Linked DNA regions of Alligator mississippiensis. The protein of the gene in region 3 purifies or fractionates together with the protein of the main gene of each other region. This does not show direct contact. Links are inferred from orthologs where the notes say so. Each region holds a gene or a part of one and is shown on either strand. Other genes may lie near its edges. The genes, in order: NOLC1, TCOF1 and ARRB2.

Region 1 (7,283 bases), on a different chromosome or scaffold from region 3:
ACCCAATTTCTTAAACAGCTGCATGTAGGTGGTAAGTCTGTTGTGGTGGAAGGGGAGGGGGAAGGGAAGGAGTGTGGGGGGAGATCAAGTCCCCTGCACTGAAGAAGCAGTGCTGGGGCAGGCGTTGCCAAGCCGGGGCAAGGCGCAGGATGGAGCCATGGTTTGTCCAGGGGGGTGGGGCATGGAGCAGCTCCTGCTGCTGCGCGCATCCTGGGGTGGGGTGTGTGCACGTGTGCCCCCCAGACCTGTGTGGGGCAGGCTGCAGCTGCAGGCTGGGGCCGCACTCAGGGTGGGTGGCAGTGCTGAGAGGGGGACTATGGGGAGAGGGCTGCAGCCCCCGCCCAAATTTCACCATAGCCCCCCCATAGCCCATCCTCCCAGCACCGCCACCCCCCCTTCTGCCAGGAAGAGCCTGGCACAACCCCAGCCGCAGCCTGCAGATGCAGCCTAACCTGCACCCCACGCAGATCCAGGGGCACATGCCACCCCTCCCCCCCAGGGTGCATGCATCACCAGGAGCCACGCCCCTGCCCCACTATGCCTGGACGAGTTGTGGTTCTGTCCCGCCCCCCGCCAGGCAGCACCTACCCTAGCTCCTTCCTTACTCCCTCCCTCACCACAGGGGCCTTTTCTTTACATCAGTGCTGATCCGATATCGGACCAATGTATCGGTGCACCTCTAATGCAAAACACTGTCCTTCAGATCAGGGGTCAGACTGCCACCCGAACAAAATCAACACAGAACAACCCTGTTCAAGGGACTCCTAGGGCAGTGGCTCCCAACCTTTTTTTGCAGCAACCCCAAATCCAGATCGTGAACCCTGCCCCCAACTCACTCATGCCCGGTGGTGCCAGTAAAGCCTGGGCTGGGCTAGGATTGTGGGGGGCAGCGGCAGCGAGAGCCGCATGGACTGTGCACCGGGACAGCCCCGCAGGCAGAAGAGGTGGAATGAAGGGCAGACCTCCTGCGACCCTGATTTGGGTCATGACCTGAGGTTGGGAGCCACTGTCCTAGGATCTACAAACACACACCTGTGCTTAAAAAGAAACAAAAAAACCCAAGAAAAGTAAGCAAAACAACCCCAGAAGCAGCATGACTGGGGAGCTAGGTAGAGCAGAAGCAGAAACTGGGGGAACTTAAAAAAAACTGATCCAAACTCCTCACAAGATAAAGGAGTGGCTGTGTCAGGGTATTCTCTGCTCCTGCTCTGACACTTGTGGTACTGGAGATCTGAGTGCAGCTCGACTCTCTGCCATTTTTATCTCAATACAAGACAACTTAGAATGTAAGACAAATACCTAATAATTAGATTCTATATATTAACTTTTTACAATTTTCCATGCGCAGAATCTAATTCTTGGGTGGGTTGTCTTAAGTGTGTCCCTACCATTGCTGTGACAGGGAAAACAGCAGCAGGGGGGCAAGTAGTGACAAGGAGATACGCAGCTTGTCTCCCACCTCATGCTCCCTGTGCCTGCATCACCTGGCACCTGCCCCCCTAGCACTTACTGCCTCCCTGGTGCCTGCCCCCCTTGGCACTTAGCTCCCTCTCTAGTCCCAGCCTCTTCCTACCATTTGCCTTCGCCTTCCCCCCTGCCACCACCACTTACCCCAGGTTGTGGCTCCAGGTCTGGGTCCAAGTCCAGTCCTGCTCTGACCCAGGGAACATGCCAGTTCTGGCCCCTGCTTGGCTCAGAAGCAGCAGCTATGGACCTGCCCCAGCCCTGAGTCAGCACTAGAGCTGCCAACACTTGCAGCAGCTGCCATCCCAGGTAGAGCCTGGAGATAGCATGTGCTCTGTGCTCTAGGCCAAAGCCAGGACCCCAGGTAAGTAACAGCAGCCAGAGGGGGAAGAGGGACGCAAAGGGGTAGACTGGCATGGGGCAGAGACGGAAGCTCTGACTCTGGGTCAGGGCTAGAGCCACAGCAGCTACCTACTGCTCCATCTTGTTCTCAAATTTACCCCCCACCTCTGTTGAATGGGGAAAATGACCTCATCTCAGATTTGAGTAAGTATGGTACTTTCTGACCAGAAACGCTAGAAAGAGTTTGACTCTAGAGTAGGAGTTTCTCCATGAAAGCAGTGAGGATTCCCAAGCTCAAAACACGTAACCCTCTGAAGAACATACAGATGCCCTGAGCCCAACCCCCTTTCTATTGCATTGTCTTTTTCATGGGGCTGAAACACGCTTAACTGTCTGTTCTGGATTCATAAATCAGCGGGGCCAACCGTTCTGGCAGATGCGTCACAAATTAAGCCCCGTACCCTCCCTGAGTGCCACTCCAACCCCCCTCCGGCGGCATGACCTGCTGCTCTGCTTTCTGCCCTCCCTGCCGGGGGCTGCAGCCCCCTCCTTGATCTGCCGCGTGCCATGCGCAGACTGCTTGTGCCACGTGTGGCACACATGCTGCAGGCTGGCCACCCCTGACTTAAACAGAGGGTTATGGTGAAACCTAGTGTTTCAGAAAGGCTTACGCCAACCCACGACAGCATTTGTGTTTTACGCTCAGGAGCGGCAGCTGCATCTGAGCTGAACTCGTCTGGTCCATGCACTCCCAGTCACAAACTCATGCACCACTCGCTGGCCCTTGGTGTTGGCTGTCCAGGCATGGCTGGCTGGAGGAAGCACTCACTTCCCAGCTGGAGCAAGGCGTCTCCCCCATCCAAGCCCGCGAGCGGGACCCTCCCCCCACGGACCGACCCGGGGGTGGGGAGGGGAAGGAGGGCGGCGGCCCGGCCCCCAGCCCGGCCGCACCTGGCCCCGCCGGCACTCACTTGAGCCAGTGGTCGAAGACGTCGAGCAGCGAGGCGGCGTTGGGGTCCTGGTCCGCCTGCAAGAGCACACACGGGCGTCAGCGCGGGCCCGGCCCAGACCCCCAGACCCTCCGGCCCGACCGCCCCCCGACCCGGCCCAGCCCGGCCCGCACCACTCCGGCCTCCCGGGCGAAGGCGCGCGCGGCGCGGTCGAAGCGGTGCTGCCGCAGAAAGCCCAACACGAGGGGCAGCAGGTCGCTGGGCACCACGCGCCGACCCGCCATGCTGCCGCCACCACGTGTACCGCCCGCCTCCGCGGTAGGGGTCGGAGGTCAGGGGTCGGGGGCCAGGCCGCCGGCAGGGGCGGGCGGAGCGCGGCCGCCATCTTGAGGTCGGGCAGCGCTGCTCGGCAGCTGCTGGCGCCACCTGGCGTCGGGCGGCCGCACTGCGCGTGCGCCGGGCAGCCCAGCCGTCCGGGGGCGCTATGGTTATGGTGTTTGCACAACCCCGGCACAATGTACGGTCAATGATAGCCACGGTGTTCAACATGTAGGGTCATTTTTTGAGGCAGCGAATTGATGCAGGATGTGCAGAACCCAAGTCACTCGGAGAGTTTTAACCCACTTTTTTTTTTTTTGCAAAAATACTTCTATATAAATAAATAAATAAATAAATAACTCCACCTCCAACAGTCTGCCAAGTTCACTGGCAGCGCAGCACACTGAAAACCCATTACACGGTTCGCACCGCGTGACCGCGCACCCGTCCCTATACCCGTCCCCGCGCCCACTGCCCCACCCAGAGGCGCTAATTCTGAAAATGTCTATGCCAGGCCCCTCTCCACCAGATGAGGTCTGCCATTTCTTTCCTGTCATCCTCTTGTGTCTTTCTGTAGTACCAGTACATTTCACTTTGTCCTTTTTTAATACAGTCCTCAACTGTGGGGTCCAAGTGTCAGTCTGTGAGCAGGTAGCTGGTTTTGCACAGTGCCCACCTGAAGCAGGCAAAGAACTGGTCGGGGCCCCGTGCTGTCTGGGCAGGTGCAGTGGCATAGGCGGTGCACGGGGGAGCACATGCACCCCCTGAGAGCGCCGGTGCACCCCCCGACCGGCAGCACTTGCCGCTTAGGCGATGGGCAGGTGGGAGTGCCGGTGCCCCCCTGCAAGCGCCGGCTGATCGCTGCAGTCACTCCCGGAAGCGGCTGCGGCTATAGGTCGCAGCGATCGGCCATTCCGGGATCGGCTGTGGGGATCTTCCCCGGCTGCGGGGGTACCCCCCAGTCAGCGGGACTGGTCACAAGCGGGGCACAAGTCGCCCATGGTCAAGTGCCCGTAAGAACCTCTTCCCTGGTCAGGTCTCTGAAACCTCCCACCACCAGGACGAGCGCACAGACTTTCTTCCCACCTCCCTGGCGTGTGGGCAGTCCCAGAAGAGACGGTCGCATGTTTCTGCCTGCCTGCATCAGGTCAGCCTCAGGCGGGGCAGAGTCGTAACCGACTGCCGAGGTTGCTGTCAGCACTGTCTTGTGACAGCTGTCCTCGAAATAAACAAACGCGTCAACTTGTTCTCACTCACTCACTGGCGACTTAAAGTGAGAAGCAATATAAAGTCAATAAAAATAATTATTTGCATACTTATTTGCATACGTTTTCAGTGTACAATCGTTTTTCAGCAAATGTGATAATTTCAAATTTGATCATTTCATTCCTTCAAACCCTTAAACCCGATGTGCCAGCCCTGGTGCCCTTCTTGGGGCTGCCAGACCCTTGGGCCTGGCCTGGCCTTGCCGGGGTGGGCTTCTAAAGCAGTGAGTCTTCCTCCACCCCTGAAGAGCCCCTCAGGGGTCACACCATGATAGATCCGCGAGGGACTCACAAGAGAAATGCATGGGGACCCCACAGGGCTTGTCCTGCCCTGCCTGGGGTCCAGTGGGGCCCTGCCATCAAAGAATGGCTGGAGGCAAGAAGCAAGGCGCCCATGGCCTTTCCAGTGGAGCTGCATCCTGCGCAGCTTGCACCCCTGCTCTAGGTGCTGCCATCAGACTCGGATGCAGGCACCTCCCCAAAGGCAAAGGCGGGAGCATGAGGCAAAGCCAACAAGTGGCAAAGATCCAGGCCAGAGCCCTGTCCATACATGCCCCCCTTAAGCTCCTGCGGCTGCCCCGGGGCTGTGGTGGGCCACCCGGGAGTCCTCAGCTGGGGAAAAGGACCTTGTTGAGCTGAGAGGAGGCTTTGCAGGGGAGCTTGGTGGGGCCTGGCTGGGGGCCTCTGCAGGCACTGAAATGAGGCCTGTTACTGTAGCACCCAGCAGCCCCAGTCACCAGTCAGCATCCAGGGGTGCTCGGTGCTGTACCTCCAGAGCAGGAAGACCACCTGTACACAGAGAGCTTGTGAGTGAAGCATAAGGCAGTGACAGATGAAGACAGACAGATGGAGGAACGCAAGGGAATAAAATGAGAATACCAGGCACCATGGGAGGCAACAGTTTTGGCAGCCTACTCATTATCCGTACAGTTTCCTTGAAATCAGGGCAAAGGAGAATCCTGATGAGGGTCTTGAGACTGAATAATATGGTCATTCTGCAGATGATTATGGGGAGCCTGTCCCAGGCATGGAGAGCAGGATGAAAGGCTTGGGTTGAAAATCTAACAAGTGGTTGATGGCAGCTAACATCATGAGTTGATCAGAGGAAATAGACCTCTTGATGCAGAATGAGAGAGGATAGGTAGGGTAGGGATAGTTTGCAAAGGGATTCATAAGTGAAGATGAGTAGCTTATGTTTAATGAGAGGATCTCTCACTGTTTCCAATAGGATTGAGGCAGGCTGTCCTCTTGCAATCTTGGTTCAGAGTCTTGTGTTGTTGGACATTATGGGTAGGAAATGGGATGCACTTCAGGCCATAAGGCCATTATTAGACTTTGACATTATTACAGTGCTATTATCTGAGATTTTAGGAGTGCTGCTCTCTCTTGAGGAGCTCTCAACACTGTTGAATCTGTATCACCAACTCCTCTACTTCTTTTGCAAATGTAAGATTTGATTTAAATTTAAAAGAGAGAGAGAAAGAGAGAAAGCAAGCCTGGCACTGAACAAAGAAGCACTTGCTTTTGTAATTTTAAATTTAAATTTTAAACATATCTATGGTGTACGGATCTTCAGGAAAAATAAAATTCTACAGGGATTTGGTATTTATACGCTTATTGACAAGAAACACAGTCCAGCATGTATTACTGTAACACAAAGAATTGGGTTCTGCAGAAATAACTCTAAATGGGCTGATGTGGGGAGGAGATTGCTTTGGTAGACATAAGACATCCTGCAGTGGGGGCTTGGTATGGTTATACTGATTTCTCTCCCAGCAGCAGTGTACCCTGCACTCCAGTAGCAGGGAAAATCCAAAATATGCTGAGCTCACTGTGTGGCTGTCTTCCTCACTTTGCCATCTCCAAAAGCTTCTACATCCAGAAGCAGCCACATATCTCAAAACTAGATCTGATCCCATTAAAGCCATCCTTCCTGAACACCCTTTTGTCAGTCAATGGACAAGGACTCATTGTTAGAGTCCACAACGTCTGAGTGCTTGTGAAAGATCTTGTGTTGATACTGTTGGCTTATAAAAGCTTCTCTCGAGGAGATAGGGATTGTACTAGCTGATTCTTCTGTGTGCTTGTAGCAGGATAGAGCCCCCAGGGGTGGCTGTGATATCCCCTGATGGCAGCGCAGCTCCTGCACCCACTCTGGCTCCCTGGGCCCCTTTCCTTTTCCCTCACCTGCCACACCTTGATGTAATGAGTTGGTTTGTGAAATGGAGGCTTCCCTGGGGTCTCCAAGTGAACCCTGGGGTCTCCAAGTGAACCCTCATCCATCCTTCTTGGCCAGTTGGTCCCTCCTGGACCCCCCTGGTCCCCAAATCTGCCCCTCAGGCACTAGGTGGGCCCTTCTGATCCACCCATGCTCCCTCCAGGGCACCTGTTGCCTTAAGGGCTAATTTTGTGGTCTTTGTCCTCCTCTGTAGCCATGCCCATGCCTCGTGGAGGTTATCAGTCAATCAGTGTCAGGTCTGGTCTTTTTCAGACCTCTCCACTCTTGCTGGGGCTTCAACCCTCCTGGCTGCTACCCCTTTCCTTTCATTAGCTCCTCTGCCTAGGCCCATCGTGCTGGACCTGGCTTCTGGGCTCCAGCTCTTGACTCACCCTCTCGGACTATGTTTTGACCTCTTGGGCTTGGGGCCCCTGGCCCTAGTCTCACCCGTCTTGCGTCTCTGGCCTTGGCCTTCCCAGCTTCAGTCTGTCTCTAGCTCCCCCATCTCAGGCTGTGGGCCCCTGGACTTGGTTTCACCCTCTTGGGCTCTACCCTTTAGCCCTTCCAGCTTCAGGCCACCTCTTTCACCAGGCTTTAGACCTCTTAGCTGCTGCCTGCCTGGGGTTTGAACTCAGCCTCTAGCAAGGGCTCAAACACTCATATGCCCCATGGGCACTACTGTGGCTTGGACCCTGCCCCTGGCACAGGTCACTGACGTGCCTCTCT
Region 2 (7,786 bases), on a different chromosome or scaffold from region 3:
CGAACAGTATTTAACTCTTATGCCCTAGGAGAGCTGTCTTTTAAGCAGCTGTAGATGCGGAAGGCAGGGCATGGTAGTGGAGAAGACCCCATCGTTCAAACCACATTTCCATCTTGCAGCAGCGAGAGTATTTCCGGTAAGTCAGCCCACCCCAGCGAGCAGAAACCGCAAAGGCAGCCGAATTTGGTTCCTGCTATGGTGGGAGAGAAAAATGAGTTGGAGCCTTTTTGATAAGGGTTTCTACTGGACGGACTTACTTCTTCCAGTGGGTGAAGATCTCCTCGAGAGAGGTCGGCAGCGAAGGAAACTCTTTCTGCGGGAGAAACAGAAAGGAAACATTAATTCCAGTTCTTATCAAGGTGCAAGGGAAAGCAGGAAGCAGATGGAAAGACACTGCAAAAAACATGACTTAAGGGGTCTCAGCAGATGACTAAGAAACCATCGAACAGAACTGCAGCCCCCATCGTTTCAGTTCAAGGTCCACTACCAACACGATACAAAGGAAGTCGAAGGACTCAGCTGCTCCATGCAACTCGGGAGAGCTCCACCACTGTCAGCAGAAGGATTTACGTGGAAGGTCTAGTCTCAGGTCTACACTGCAGATGTTTGCATGGAGAAAAGGCACCGTGGGTTAGGAACAGCGCCACGTGGGATCTCCACCAGCTTCGCTCAGGACTAAGGTGCCTGGCAGCACTGTTTAAAGGCAGTTCGCAGCATCTCTGAGTGGGACCGAGTTCGAATTACTGCTCTCCATCCTCGACTTTTGCAGCCCTGCACTAGCCAGCCCATTAAAGACAACGATGCCCGCTTCTGGGGAGGCCGACTGGAGGTTTCCAACACACTTCTGGCTACGTGCACAGAGGCCAGTCAGCACGTGCAGCCCTAGACAGCCTCATGAAAAGTCGGCAGGAGCGGTTTAACTCACCAGCTGAGGTCGAATGGGTATTAATTCCCCCTCCATCCCTTGCACGCATGCGCAGATACAGCAATAAGGCCAAGCTCAGGATGCCTCCTTTCCCAGCTAGCATTTTATTTTAAAGCAAAGTTCTCACTTTCCCATGGGACCGCGGACGCCAAAAGAAAAAGGGCGCCCTACTTGGAGCAACCATTCAATCAGTCTGGCGTCTGGTCCAGATCACACAGAAACCACCAGCCCAGCCCTCGCTCCCTCCCCGCCACGCACCATGGCTTATATTTGGAGGTAGTGGGGATCCAGCAGGAATAGCCTAGGCAGCCGCAGCACGTCCACCCCGTCACGGGGCAGTCACAGGAGCACAAGCAAGCAATTGTTGGGACCTGTCAAGAGGCTGGAAGCAGTGGCCATGGGGAGCAGGGGGGGCTGCAGCCTGGCCACGAGGTTCCTCCCAGGCTGGGCCAGGGGGATGAAGGTATAGGAAGCACCGCAAATGCAATGCAATCAAATCCAGTGCAATGCAGTGCACTGAAATCATAGAAAACGAGGGTTAGAAGGGACCCCAGGAGGACGCATCTAGTTCAACCCCCTGCTCCAAGCAGGGCCAGCCCCAACTACAGCATCCCAGACAAGGCTTTGTCAACCCGGGTCTTAAACACCTCCAAGCATGCAGACTCCACCACCTCTCTGGGTAACTTGGCCCAGTGCTTCACCACCCTCCTAGTGAGAAAATTCTTCCTAATATCCAGCCCAACCCAATGCAATGCACTGAAACCCAGTGCAACCTCTGGGAAGACTGTTTTAGGCTGGACATTGGAAAAATCTTCTTTACCATCCGGGTCTACAATCTGGAATAGACTCTCCCCCAGAAGTGGTGCAAGTACCTAGTCTGGACCCCTTTAAGACACACTTGGATGCTTATCTCACTGGGATCATTTGACCCCAGCAAACTTCCTGCCCCTGGGGCAGGGGGCTGGATCCCATGATCTTGCAATGTCCCTTCCAGCCCTAATGTCTACGGCAGAGGTTCTCAAACGGTGGTCCGCAGAAAGGTGACCTAAGACTAAAGCTGAAACATTACACTAGACTTCCTGGAACTTTGCTCATAAAAACAGGCACGTCCACTGCATTAAAGGTCAGACTACCGATATTAAAACATGAGTTGTGGGCTTTGATTTGTAGAACAAAAAACATTTTTATTAAGTGGTCTGCTGAGACCCTCAGCAATTTTCATGTGGTCCATGAAAAAAAGTTTGAGAACCACTGGTCTATGCAATGCCATGCACTGAAACCCAAGGCAACCCAGTGCATTGACGCCCGGGGCACCCCAATGCGCTGCCCTGATGCCCAGGGCACTGCAATACAACACACTGAAGCCCGGGGCACTGCGCTGAAGGCCAGGGCATTACAATACAATGCCCTGAAGGCCAGGGCACCCCGATGCACTGCACTGAAGCCCAGGGCACTGCAATACAACACACTGAAGGCCAGGGCACCCCGATGCACTGCACTGAAGGCCAGGGCACCCCCATGCACTGCACTGAAGGCCAGGGCACCCCCATGCACTGCACTGAAGGCCAGGGCACCCCCATGCAACACACTGAAGGCCAGGGCACCCCCATGCAACACACTGAAGGCCAGGGCACCCCCATGCACTGCACTGAAGGCCAGGGCACCCCCATGCAACACACTGAAGGCCAGGGCACCCCCATGCACTGCACTGAAGGCCAGGGCACCCCAATGCAACACACTGAAGCCCAGGGCATTGCAATGCACTGCCCTGAAGTCCGGGGCACCCCGATGCACTGCCCTGAAGGCCAGGGCACTGCCATACAACACACTGAAGGCCAGGGCACTGCACCGCGCTGGCCTGGAGGCCGGGGATCCCCTGGCAGCGCAGCGCAGCGCAGCGCAGCGCACGCGGCGGGGCCGGGCCGGGCCGGGCCGGGCCGGGCGCCCTTACCTGTCCGAGCTGGCGCTGGAGCTCGCGGGCGGCGCGGGCGAAGCCGGCCTGGCGCAGGTGGTGGTGGATGAAGGCGAGGAGCTCGCGCTGGTGCGGCCCCGCCGCGGCCATGCCGCCGCCCGCGTCCCGGTCCTGGCCCCGGCCCCGGCCTCGGCCCCGCATGCCGCCGCGCCGCGCCGCCCGCCGCCCTTTGCCCGCGCCGCCCCCTTCCTCTTCCCGGCAGCGCGGCCTTGTGGGGCGGGTAGTTCTTCCGCCCGCCCGCCTCCACTTACCCTCGCTGCAGCCCGAGCCCATTGCTCCGCGTCCTGAGACGGAAAACACCATGAAGTTGCTGGTTTGGTTTGGCTTGGCTTGGTTGCCCGTCCTCAGTGGGTCTCACCGCCGAGCCGAGAGGTTTCCATGCTGGCATGTCTTTTTAGTCAAGGAGTGGTTGTTGGAGGTTTTCTAAAGGAGATCAAAGAAGCGCGGGTCAGGGATGGTTTAGGGTCAGCTTTCCTTCACGCGGGCCGGGGGTCGCGGCCAGCCCTAGGAGTCCCCGAAACGGAGGGTCTGGGCAGGGGGTGGGCTCTGCGAGGCGGCCCCCACCCCTGAGTCTCTTTTCTTTCCAGGAAAAACCGGGCTCCGTTCACTTCGGCAGAGGTTTATTTTTGGAAGGTTTAATGCTGTGCACCGTGCACCCCTCCCGCCCTCAAACGCACAACCGTTATTAGTATTTATGGACGAGATTAAATATAAGCCTGGCTCTGCGCCAGCTGGCTCCCAAACCGAGCCCCTTCGACAGCCTCAGCCGTCAAGGTGAGCGCGAGCGCCCCGGGCCCGGGGCCGTCTTCCAGCAGCCAATGCAACACGACAGCTGCGCCGTTGCACCGGGCGAGTGATCGTTATGCAAACGATCGCGCATCATCGATACACATAAATATATGCGCTCGTGCAAATGATCGCCCGTCGTCAATATAAATCCAGGCGGTTGCTGAGTATGAACTGGAGAGCGTGGACCCGCCTGGCCTTCAGGCAAGTCTGCGTTAGGTTTTCAGCGCCCGTGGCTTTATGACCAAGGAGAGAGACCCCACCAAGGTCAACCCGGCGTGGACGTCCGTGGGGTTACGCCAGCGTTAAAACCCCGGGTGCAAATGAGAATCAGCCTCTGAGACTTAAAAGGGCCACTGTCTGCTGCACATATATTTAGGAGCAGATTTTGACCTACTTTGACACGGGCCCATCTGGAAGGGTTTTTTATACCTCCAGGAGTCTTTCCGTTTGTTTTGCTTTGATTTCTTTTTTTAAGTAATGTTGCGACACGCCGGGAGCTTGTTTTTCGAAAACCGCGCGGAGGGCCACATGCGAGGCTCACGATAGAAAACAAGATGTGTCATGCAAGGTTTTCCATGCAAGGTTTTCAGCTCTCACCGAGTTGCATAGGAAGCCTGGACGCGCTAAAGGGGGTGTCCATTCGCTGCCTCCTGCTGAGAAAGGCCTGTCTGCTGCAAATATCCCCACAGAGCACCCACCCTGGGCAGAATTTGCCTCTTCCAGGTGATTACTGCAATCCTTAGCATTCAAAGATCTTCATGCCCACTCATCCTCATCTCTCATCTGGGAGAACAGGGGGGAAGTGACGATGTACCCCAAGTCATGGAAGGGGCCTAGATTCTCCAAAAAGCTCCGGACGGGGGTTTTTCGGTGCTCAGCAGCTACTGTAGGCTCCCCTTTCAGTGCCCAGGCAAGATGCTCCCTGGGGCAGCGAGTCCCATGCAACTAACCTCAACGTGTGCCCTGGAATAAGGGCAGGGAGGCACCACAAGAGATCTTCTAGCTCAGCCCCGTGCTCGAGGCCGGGTCAGCCCTGCCTAGACCCACTTAAAGGCCTTGACGGTCGTGGGCCCTGATTTGGGTTGTCCCACGTCACAAGTAATGCCCTGCCTGCTTGCAGCACCCTTCATTCTCCCTGCCTGCCTGCCCACGGAGGCAAAATGCACTGTGGAAATGAGCGCCGCTGGAGGGTCCCGGTGGCTGGAGTCGTGGGCAGGACTTGCACTCGACACCATTCAGAATTTTTTTTTTGGAAAATTTGTCTCATTCTGGGTCGAACTGGCCGAACCCTCTCGATTGAGCAGCGCTTTATCGTTCAAACACCGTACGTGGCTCTGCAACCGGCAGGAATCTGTCACCCCAGACTTTGCAGCCTGTGGCTTCAGATGCTCCCAGATCCATTGGTGGGCATCCTATGTGCGGACCCAAGCCCGGGGGCTTGGGGTTTGGATGCCCCTGAGTCTCACTTGCCCAGCGCTGCCCTCTCTGGACCCAAGCTTGGCCTGGGCTCTTGCTGCCTCTCTCCTATTAACGTGCTCGAGAAGCCCCGGGCAAGCTGCGGGCACCTGCGCCAGCCGTATCCTGCATGCCAATGAAGTTCCCCATTCCCACTTCCTTCTTTGCAATCCCCAGCTCCTTTTTCCAGGAATTTCAGCTACACAAAATAACAGGAGTCCTAATAGGTGCAAAGCAAGATGGGAGGGGGGCAGCAAGCCGGCTAGGTGGGGAGGGCAAAGAGAAGGATGGCATTAAGGCCACGCAGGTGAGACAGCCGTCCAGGTGGGATAACAACGTGTGGAGAGCATCCCTATAAAAAAGGCTTAAAAATTGGTGCTTTCTTTCCAAGCAAGCAATCCTGCTCCGGTGCGGGGTCACTTCAGTCCAGAGCCTCCCTCGCGTGCTCGAGCCCTGAACACGGCTCAGTCGGCGGCGCTGCCGGGACCTGTAGTAACACAACCCGCTCCAGCGAATGCATCTGAAGAATTTTTTTGTCGTGCCGCAGTTACAGGTAAGGAAGGTAAACAGGGCGTATAATAAATAGAGCGATTCAGCCAAGCAAACAGCTGCACAATTATAAATAGGAAAATCCTCCCTAGCCCAAACCCCACCGAGGAAAAAAACCAAAACTCCCCGAACAGCATGCAGTTATTAAAAGGTGAGGTTTTTTTTCATGCATTTTTGAAGGAGCTTGGAGCTATTTTGCCAGGTCTTTATTTTTAGGAAGGTGAAATATCCTCAGTGGATTTGAAAAGCTAACCTTTCAGCTATGTGATTTCCATGCCAGGACACTGAGTCATGAAAGGATTGCAGGAAGCTCTTTAAAATCCAGACAAGGATAAAGCTGTAGTAATTTAATAGGCAGCTCAGGACACTTATGCCCAGGCAGGCCTGTTCGTGTCCAGCGCTCCACAAGCCGGGTGCATTGCTTGCTGGTTTAGAGGCCTTTGATTATCGGTTTGTGAAAAGCTCGCCCACATCTATTCCATCCTGAATTACTCCACTCATGCCCCGTCTAAAGCACGGCTTGGGAGCATTTAGCAAACTGGGAAGCTGCTGTCAATCAGCTCCTCAGCCATCTGGAAGCTGGCATTTCCTATGGATACTTGTCTGTGGACCCGTAGGCCTGTGAGGACGCTTTCCTCCCATCTTTACCACGAATGCTGAGCGAGGTTCAGCTTAGTTTCTTTGCTTAATAATGGATCCTTGACATTAGGTACTTATAGTCGGGAAATGTGCACCATAGATAGGGGGCTGTTCCCTGAGCCGCTCAGATCTGCATTACAACCTCCCCCCGTGACCCTGCATCCCAAGTTTGGGGGGATTTGGGTCCAGGTGGTTGGCCACATCTATTGGGCAGAGCGGCAGCTGCAAAATCCAGGGCCAGCTTAGCCACGCAGAGAAATCGGAGGATCTGCAGGGACACTTGGGCATTAGGGCCAGCTGCAGCAGCACGTGGCAGTCAGCCGGGGTCAAGGATCTCGCTTCACGGTCTCTATGTATCGTGAGCAAAGTAATCCTGCTGTAACAATTGGCCACGCTAAAAAATAAAACATGTTGGAGGTGGTCTAATTTACCCCGATAAATCGAGCTCTACCACGATAAAGACGTCAAGGTGTATTTTCAGACACGACTAACCTAGCAAAGTGGCAATTTTTGGCGCCGTGACGTGTACAAGTGCTCTATAGCGCTGCATGCAGCATCTCTGTATAACTGTGATTATGACCTTAGTGAATATACTTGATTTCTAAAGACCCCAAGGTGCCCCTAAGGCTTTGCTTTCTCCTCTGAACAACCAACAGGGGCCATGGGGAGACAGGACGGTGAACGGACCTCTCCAGGCAGTGGTGTCCCATGCACCCGCTAGGTCTCGTCTAGACGGAAGAGGGCCGCCGAATAAATCGCCCGCCCGCTCTCTGCCCGGTGGGGTGGCCCACCCTGACCCTGCTCAGCTCGAGAAAGCTGGCTAGGTCACCACATGATGGTGGGCAAAGAAATAGCCTATGGCTAGGTAGCCGTGCAGCAGGACTGAAGTGCCCACCCAGCAAAGACCCTCCACCGATGCTTTGCAAGGAGGCCCTTTGGAAATAATCCCGTCCTGGCTGGGCTGAAGGGCAGCACCAGGTCAGGGCCATTCTCTCCAGTGCAGACGCAGCGGGGAAGGGGCTGCCTGTTGGGGACATCATATCCTTTCTGGGTTAAATCTGGAGACAGGGCTCAGAGGTGGTGCACAGAGTCCAGTCCATGCCTGGCTGGTCTGTCTCACTCCCATGCTCACGGTCATACTGGTTACCATATCCAGGGCTGGGATGGAAGTGGTCAGAGGAGCAGGAGGCTGTATGGGGCAGGTTCCTCTTCCCCTGCTGGCTTACCTTTGAGGATCGCCTGGATGCATCTCAAGGAATCAATTCCTGGCTGTCCTTTGGTCTCTTTTGATCTTTACCTGCGGCACCAAGTTCAGCTTCTTGAGGTCGGAAATACTTGATGCAACCAGTGTCTTTGGGCTTGACCCGAGGTATTTGGGTGAAGCTGAAAGGCCTGTGGTAGCCGGGAGGTCCGAGCAGACGAGTCCCTTCAGACTTTTATTTCTGTAATTGGTAGGT
Region 3 (7,622 bases):
GGCGCACCGAGTTCCTGGGTGAGGGGAGGAAAGGGGAGGGGCTGGGAGCCTGGACACCTAGGTTCATCCCCCCGCACCGAGCGCCGGTGCACCCCCTGGCCGGTCACACAAGCACTGGCCAATCACTCCCAGCCACTTCTGGGACCCACCCCCCAGCAGTGAGAGAAACCGTGGGGGGACCCCCCTGTTGGTGGGACTAGTCACGGGGAGGCATGTGTCCCCCCAACTAAGGTGAAAGCAGTTGCCCATGCTGGGAGGTGAGCAGGGGGGGATGGTAGCCCCTTACCTCTTGTGAATCTTTTCCTCCAAGGATTTGGCACAGAAAGCTCTGATCTCATAGTCGACCCCACAGGCCTGGAGGGGGAGACCCTGTTAATGTCAGTGCCCCTCACTCCCAACCTGCAGCCCCCTGCCCACCCAGGCCTGCGGGTGCCCCTCACTCCTGACCCACAGCCCCTACCTTGCCCGTGTCCTCAGGCCCTGGCTGTAGCGTCACCGAACATGGCAGATTGGGGGGTATCTGGGGGGGAGGCAGAAACAGTTAAACAGGGTGGTCCCTGGGGGCTGGTTTGGGGTTTGCGGAGGCCACTCACTTTGAAGGCGAAGGGGTGGGCTCGAGGGCCCAGCTTGCGCAGCAGACGGTCCTGCAGGCGGGTGGGGGTGAGTGGGGGGGATGCAGGGGGGGGCGCAGCCTGCAGTGCCTCCGAGAACAGGTCCTTGCGGAAGGACAGACCAAGAACGTCCAAGTCCTCGCGCCCATAGCGGAAAGCGCAGGTCAGCGTCACGAACACTGCGGGGTTGGGGTGGGGTCAGTGCAAGCCACACCGTCTTGGGGAACCCCAGGCCCCACGCCTTGGAGACCCCCCCAACCCCTCAGGCAATACCCCCACAACAAGATCTTCAGACCCCAAGCCCCACCCCCTTGGGACACCCCCCATCCCAGGAACCAAGGGATCACCCATCCATCAAGCCACACCCCCGAGGACACCTCCCCCCCATAGGTCCAGGCCATGCCCACCTTTCCGGTCCTTCAGGTATTCAGGGTCCACCAGCACCACGCCATCTGGGGGGAGGGGAAAAGGTGTAGGGGGGGTTGGACGAGCCCACCAACAGCCCACACTCCCGCAGACCCTTTTCCTGACCCCCCCAAACCAACTCACCCACGAGGTCCACGGAGTCCAGGTGGTCCACAAAGTCCCTTTTGCCCAGGTAGACAGTCAGCTGGTGGGGGGGGGGAAACGTGACAGGGGGAGCAGACCTCTCCCGACCCCAGAATTGCCCCCCAGCCCCCAACACCCCTGCCAGTGCCCCTTACTCCCAACCCACAGCCCCCCAAAACTGCCCTCCAGCTCCTGGTCCCCCCATTACAGGATCCCCCAGGTGCAAGGAGGGGGGATTAACCCCTCCTAGGCTGTGCTGGACTCACGAGCCACAGCCTGAATCTAACCCAGCCACAGCCCCTCCCCCGCACCTTGTGGCCAAGTTGGGGGGAGGGGGGGGGGAGGAAGGAAGATGGGCAGGGGTGGAAATGCTACAGGAAACCGAAGGGGGGGCGGGGGGGGCTGCGGTTCAGGAGTGAGGGGCACGCAGGGCTGGTGGAGGGCAGGGATCACTCACCTTGCAGTTAGGGCTCGACTTCTTGAAGACCCTGCAGAGGGGAGAATCACAGCCTCAGCCCCCGCAACATCCAGGGGATCAGACCTGATCTTTGACCTCCCCCCTGCTCTGCCCCCAGGCCCATAACCACCAAACTCCTAAAGATGGGCTTAGGCCTAGCTGGTTGCCACAGAAACATGAAGCCTGGGGGCATCTACAGAGGCCTGAGGGGGAGTCCAGGAGGAGCCTTAAGGGTGATGAGGAGCCTAGTCCTTGGGGGCAGGGGGCACCAGCAGGAGCTACAGGTCAGGAGTGAGGGGCACCAGGAGGGTTGGGGGGGCAGGGGCTGCAGGTCAGGAGTGAGGGACACAGGCAGGGCAGTGGGGGTAGGGAGGGGCCGTGGCTGTGACAGGACGTGCTGCTTCCTGTTTGTTTCTAGACGGGAAGTAGCACGGAGGATCCTCATGTCCGTCCATCCCCCACAATGGCCAACCTGCCCCCCACAACCCAGAACAGGACCCTGATCTGGGGGGCTGCAGTGCAATGATGCCCCCCACCCCACCACCAGCTGCAGCAGGGAACCCCGTTACACCTGGCCCTGTTCCACCCCAGAGGCAGCCGCACCTAGGACCTGTTCTACCCAGCCCCAACGCCCCACCCCAGAGCCAGCCGCACAGGGGACCCGTTATCCCTGCTCCCTGCAGTACCCTGGGGCTTGAACTGTGGAGTGGAGGGGGGTCACATCTCCTCTCCCCCTGCACCCTCCCACCCCCACCCAGCCCTTGCCAACTTCCGAATTAACGCTTGGCAATTTTCACTTCCTCTTTCTGGCCTGGAAGCCCCAAAAGGCTCAACTGCCTCATTAGCTGCAGCTTCCCTCCCCCAGCCCCAAAGGGTGTGGGGCAGGGGCTGCGGGTCAGGATTGAGGGGCACTGGCAGGGCTGGGGGGGCAGGAGCCTGCAGGTCGGGAGTATGGGGCACCCATGAGGCTTTGGGGGGCTGCAGATCAAGAGTGAAGGGCACTGGGCAGTAGGGGGCTGCGGGGCAGGAGTGAGGGGCACCGGCGGGGCCAGGGGTCTCCAGAGAACCCAGGCGTCCTGGTCTCTCTCGCCCCCCACAAAAAACGGACCCAGGCGTCCGGGGCCGGCGATGCCAGGCGCGGGCAGCTCCATCATTCCCCCTCCCCTCCCAGCCTGGCACGGCAGGACCCTGAGCCCAGATTAGCCGGGGAGCGGGGGGCGGACGCCGGAGGAGCGGAGGGGGTGGGCGCGGGAGGCTGGCCCGGACGCCGGGGCTCTCGCGGGGGGGGCGTCCAGACGCCTGGGGTCCCTGCCCCTCACCTGGTGCCCGCCTTCTCCCCCATGGCGCGGGGGGTCCTAGGCGGGCGGCGGGAGCCCCCGGCGCGGGCTGCAGGGAGTTGCGGACCCGAGTGGGGACATGGCAGGGGAGGGGGGGGCGGTCACGTGGGGGGGCGGGGCAGCCAATCACAGGGCGCGCGGGGGAGGAGGGGGGGACGTCAAGGGCGGGAGAGTTCCCCCCTCGCGTGCCCCAGGCGTAGTACACGCGTGTGCTTTGTACTTGTGCGTGTACATGCAGGCACATGTTTACACATGTAGTACACACGCGTGTGCACCTGCAACCACTCCACGCACACCTGCACGCATGTGCACAGGTCTGCACACACACACACATCCATGCGCATGGGGGTTGTGCAGATGCACACAGTTGCACGTTTTTGGGCGCACACAGGTGTGCCTGCGTCCCCCACGTGTATGGAAGCACACCAATGCAGAGCCGTCCACATGGGCAGTTGGGCCTGGATCCTCACACACATGCTTTGTTCTGGCCACAGGTCTCCACAGGCAGCCAAGTGTGTGTCTGTGTGTGTGTGTGCACGCATGTGCAAATGAGCCCCCACCTGCACACATGCACCCCCACCTGCACATGCACACACGTGTGCAAACAGGCCTGCAGACATACACACACGTGCAAACACACGTACACTGATCTGCATGCGCACACCTTTGAGCACAGATCTGCACACATATACCAAGATTTGTAGACACACACGGGTGAACTCCCACCATCCTCACATGCATGTGCACACAGCTGTGCATGGAGCTGCATGCACACATGCACACATTTTCATGCCCACATGCACATACACCCCACACATGCACCCATACACCCTCATACGTGCAAACATGACTGCACAGATCTCCACACCACCCTTGAGCACAGATCTGCACATGCACACATGCAAATTTTTAGACACATGTAAGTGAACTTGCATCTTACCCACACGCATGTGCACACAGCAGACAGTTGTGCATGGAGCTGCACACACGCACATCTTCATACCCAGTGCACATACATCCCCCCCCCACACACACACACACCTGTGCTTGGACACAACCGCACCCCTCTTGCACACAGCGCTGTGTTCACACCCGCGGCCCCTTGGCACACGCACACGCCCATACCCACGTCCGGCCACCACGGGGCGCTGGGGGCGGGCGTGACTCAACCCCAGCCAGGAACCTGCCTGTGGTTACGGGCCCGGGGGGACTGGCAGGATCCAGCTGACCCGAGACTGGGCAGAGCTGGGGGGCAAGGAGGGGACCCCTGGTCTGAACCAGTCTGTGCCCAGTGCTCTGGACGGGATCGTCTGGGCTGGTTTGGACAGGGCTGGGATTAACGAGGGCAGGCCTAACGACACAGCGGTCTCAGTGTAACGCAGAGGAGATTAGGTCACCTAGGCCCAGGACTATACGGACAGGGCATCTGTCCCCTAGCCCCAGGACTAAGGGTCTAAGTCTCTGCGAGAGGAGGGGCCTGGGGTGGGAGGAGGGGACTGGAGGCCCAGACCCTGGTTCTCGGTGGGGGACTGGGACCAGCGGGGCGGCTCAAGTCCCTTTACGACCCTCTTGCGGGGGATCATCCAATTTCTATGTGCCCATATGACCCAGCTCTGGGCCTTGTCACGTGACCCCTGTCCCCGCGCCCGGGAGCTCTGTGGGCCGTACCATTCTCCCCCGAAGTGTAAAAGGGAGCTTAGTTCCCCCGTATCCCGCTCCACCCCCTCCTCCGGTACAATCCGGCTCTTATAACCACCCCCGCCCCCAGAATGATGGGGGTGGGGGGAATTAGGGGCTTCGTCGAAGTGTCCCCATGAATAGCCCCCACCTTGAACAGAATGGAACCGTCCAGGCCCATCCCCTTCTCGTCGCTTTCCAGGGGTCGCCGCCAAGTGGTACCTCCCTCCCTCTGTTCCCCCCCTGCGCTCAGCTGCCGAATGGTAGCTGCCGCCTCTTATTTATTCCCCCCCCCCCCTCCCCCCGGACGATGATCTTCTGTTCTTGCCCCTCCCTGTCAAATGCTTCCCGGGAGCGGGCAGCAGCGGTTTTTGGTAATGGGGGCCCCTTGCTGGGAGCAGAGTCAGGTCCTTGGACCGACAAGAAGGGGGTTGGGGGGATCTAGCAGTCCCCTTTCTGTGGGGGGTCTGAGCCGCAGCTCTGGGGTGTTGCACCCCCCAAATCTGTCTCCCCCCCCCACGCTGGAGGTTTTTGTCTTGTGCAATGGAAGTGGACCCTGCAGCTGCCCTAGAGCCTCGGGTGTCTCATGGGGAGAAGATTGGCTCTATACTGGAGGGGGAGGGGAAGGGGAAGGATGGGGGTTGGCTATAGGGGTATTTGCTATATATAGAGGACCAGACTGGAGATGGTCTTCTTTATAGGAGAAAAGGATTGGGAGGTTGTCTGTCCACTAGGGAGCAGAGAGCGGGGGGGGGGGGCGGTTAGGTGCATTGTGGGTAGGTTGAAGTGGCTACACAGAAAGAGTAGGATGGAGAGGCTGGTTCTATGTTGGGGGGGGGGGAGGACTGGGCAGTTCTCAAGGGCTTTTCCACATCCATTGTGGGGTTGGCTATATTAGGGAGTAAGCATGCAGGGGTTGGATTTATGGTGGGGAAGAAGGAATTGAGATTCCCTCTATGGAGGGGGGGTTCTCAAGTGTGCTTCCCAGTGCATTAGGCCTTGGCTCTGTTGGGGTTGGCTTTATGGGTGGGTGGGGGGTGCAAAGGCTCTGGAGGGAGAGGTTCCCCAAGGGCTTTTCCAGCTGCATTGTGGGTAGGGGGGGGACTTGTCTCTAGAGGGGAAGTGATTGGTTGGCTGTATGGGGGGAGAGGGAGTTGGGCTTTCAGGTGCATTGTGGGTAAGGAGGGCATTTTAGGGGAAGGGGCTGATGCTAGGACAGTGAGGGTTGGGGGCACATTTAAATGAATGAGGGGTCCTCCATGCTGCCAAGAACAGCTGGTACCATTGAAACTCGAGGGGAGGGGGGTTGGATGTCCTTAACCATGGAAATGCAGGTGGCTGTGGCAGGCTAAAGCATCCGCCTGCACAAACGGGGACTAGAGTGTCCATCACAGTCAGCCCTAGTGGATCCAGGGGGCTAAAGTATCTGCTGCCACCACTGAGATTCTTTGAGGACAGTGGGGCTGGAGCACCCCACTCCTGGTTGGGCTGATGCAGTGGCCAAGGGCCATGACTTCAACCTGTTATCACAGTTGATCCCATGCAGTGGCTCAGTGGCGGAGACAGAAGAACGACAGAAACAGAAGGAAAAGAAACCCCAGTATTGTCAAACGTCTTTAGTTTATCTGTAAAAATCATGCATTTAAAACAAAAACATTGTATTTTTACCTCCATAAAAAACAATACCATTTGAAAATCAACCCTGACCCAAACCTCAATTGAACCGATGCAAAAATATATTATTTTACATACAGAATTTCCAGTTTTGTAAAACCAAATCTTGCTTCTGGAGCAAAGTGTGAAGCTGGTCGCTCAAACAGGAAATGTTGCAGTAGCGGAACAAACAATGATGCAGCCCAATTTACAAATGAAGTGGCAAAAAGTGCTCCTAAAAAAAGTCTGAGTAGCTCTGCAGCATAATGCCCAACACGTTTGCACAAGTCAGGTAAAGCAAGCACTAAGTCATGGTTAATAAAAGTCTGTTACAATAATTGTGCAGCTGCCCACAAAGACCTGGTGAGAGAACTCCAACATCCAGGCTCCCAGACCCCCCTGCCATCACACTCCAGCCCGCTCCCATCCAAGAGAACCAAGACATCTGGGCTCCCAGCTTCCTCCTTCCCACCCCAACGTGCCAGGGCTGAGTCCCCGGCAGCAGCCCAGCCCAGTCCCCACCCCCAGCCTGGGCTGCAGCAGCACCCAATGCTGCTAGGGGAAGGGAAACCCCCTGACTCATGGGGGGGTGGCAGCATGCAACAGAGCCCAGCTAGCTGGAAGAGACCCAGGCCCAGGTTACCCCCTGTCAAGAGACCACATTTGATACAGCTGATATCCAAAAGCAGGGGATGACCTGAGTGTCGCAGTGCCTCAGCCCTGCCTGGGACTCTTCCCTGGCTGCTGGGTGCCCCCCCCCCTTGTTGCCCCATGTGTCAAGGGGTTTTTAAGCCTCCCCCAGAGGCACTAGGTGCTGCTGCTAGCACCAATCCCGCAGGGTCCTGGCTAGAGGATCTTGCCCCTGCGCTTCCACCTCCAGGGGGGCACACAGCTTCAGAGCCAAGAGCAACCCCGCGGTGGCACCGAAGGGCCTCGACTGCATGCAGTGACCAAGGTTGATAAAAGGGTTCTCTAAGGTATGAGTGGGCTGGATGGCAGCAGGTCTGGCCTGCTCCGGCCTGGCTTCCCTCCAGGGCAGGGGTGACCAACCTAAGCCTGAGAAGGAGCCAGAATTTAGCAATGTACATTGCCAAAGAGCCACAGTAATATGTAATATGCAAGCAGTCATGTCACGTGACATAACGGCTATAGCAGCTGGTCACCGTGCTTGTGCAAAGGTTCAAGGAGATGCATATTAACTTTTGAAGAGCCGCACGTGGCCCCAGAGCCACCAGTTGGCCACCCCAGCTCTAGGGCCTGTCCCATACACTTCATTTCTATGAAATGCTGGGAGGGGTGTGGGGGGTTAACTTGAAAGTGTAGGGATGAGCTCATTTT

Evidence for each region.
Region 1: the proteins of ARRB2 (region 3) and NOLC1 purify together in Homo sapiens (affinity purification with mass spectrometry; 5 studies listed by BioGRID and IntAct, counting the BioPlex papers as one, with this or other methods). This does not show direct contact. The link is inferred for Alligator mississippiensis from reciprocal best matches to the Homo sapiens genes ARRB2 and NOLC1.
Region 2: the proteins of ARRB2 (region 3) and TCOF1 purify together in Homo sapiens (affinity purification with western blotting; 4 studies listed by BioGRID and IntAct, with this or other methods). This does not show direct contact. The link is inferred for Alligator mississippiensis from reciprocal best matches to the Homo sapiens genes ARRB2 and TCOF1.

The regions. Positions count from the first base shown.
Region 1 is NC_081829.1:17,771,347-17,778,629, reverse strand, and holds the start of NOLC1 (nucleolar and coiled-body phosphoprotein 1), read right to left. Parts: upstream 3,075-7,283; 5' UTR 3,041-3,074; coding exon 2,930-3,040; intron 2,834-2,929; coding exon 2,778-2,833; intron 1-2,777. UniProt on the Homo sapiens protein: Nucleolar protein that acts as a regulator of RNA polymerase I by connecting RNA polymerase I with enzymes responsible for ribosomal processing and modification.
Region 2 is NC_081832.1:75,212,450-75,220,235, reverse strand, and holds the start of TCOF1 (treacle protein), read right to left. Parts: upstream 3,047-7,786; 5' UTR 3,039-3,046; coding exon 2,877-3,038; intron 314-2,876; coding exon 258-313; intron 1-257.
Region 3 is NC_081838.1:23,720,476-23,728,097, forward strand, and holds the start of ARRB2 (beta-arrestin-2), read right to left. Parts: upstream 3,054-7,622; 5' UTR 2,960-3,053; coding exon 2,937-2,959; intron 1,649-2,936; coding exon 1,618-1,648; intron 1,222-1,617; coding exon 1,161-1,221; intron 1,064-1,160; coding exon 1,019-1,063; intron 791-1,018; coding exon 594-790; intron 521-593; coding exon 461-520; intron 355-460; coding exon 287-354; intron 15-286; coding exon 1-14. UniProt on the Homo sapiens protein: Functions in regulating agonist-mediated G-protein coupled receptor (GPCR) signaling by mediating both receptor desensitization and resensitization processes.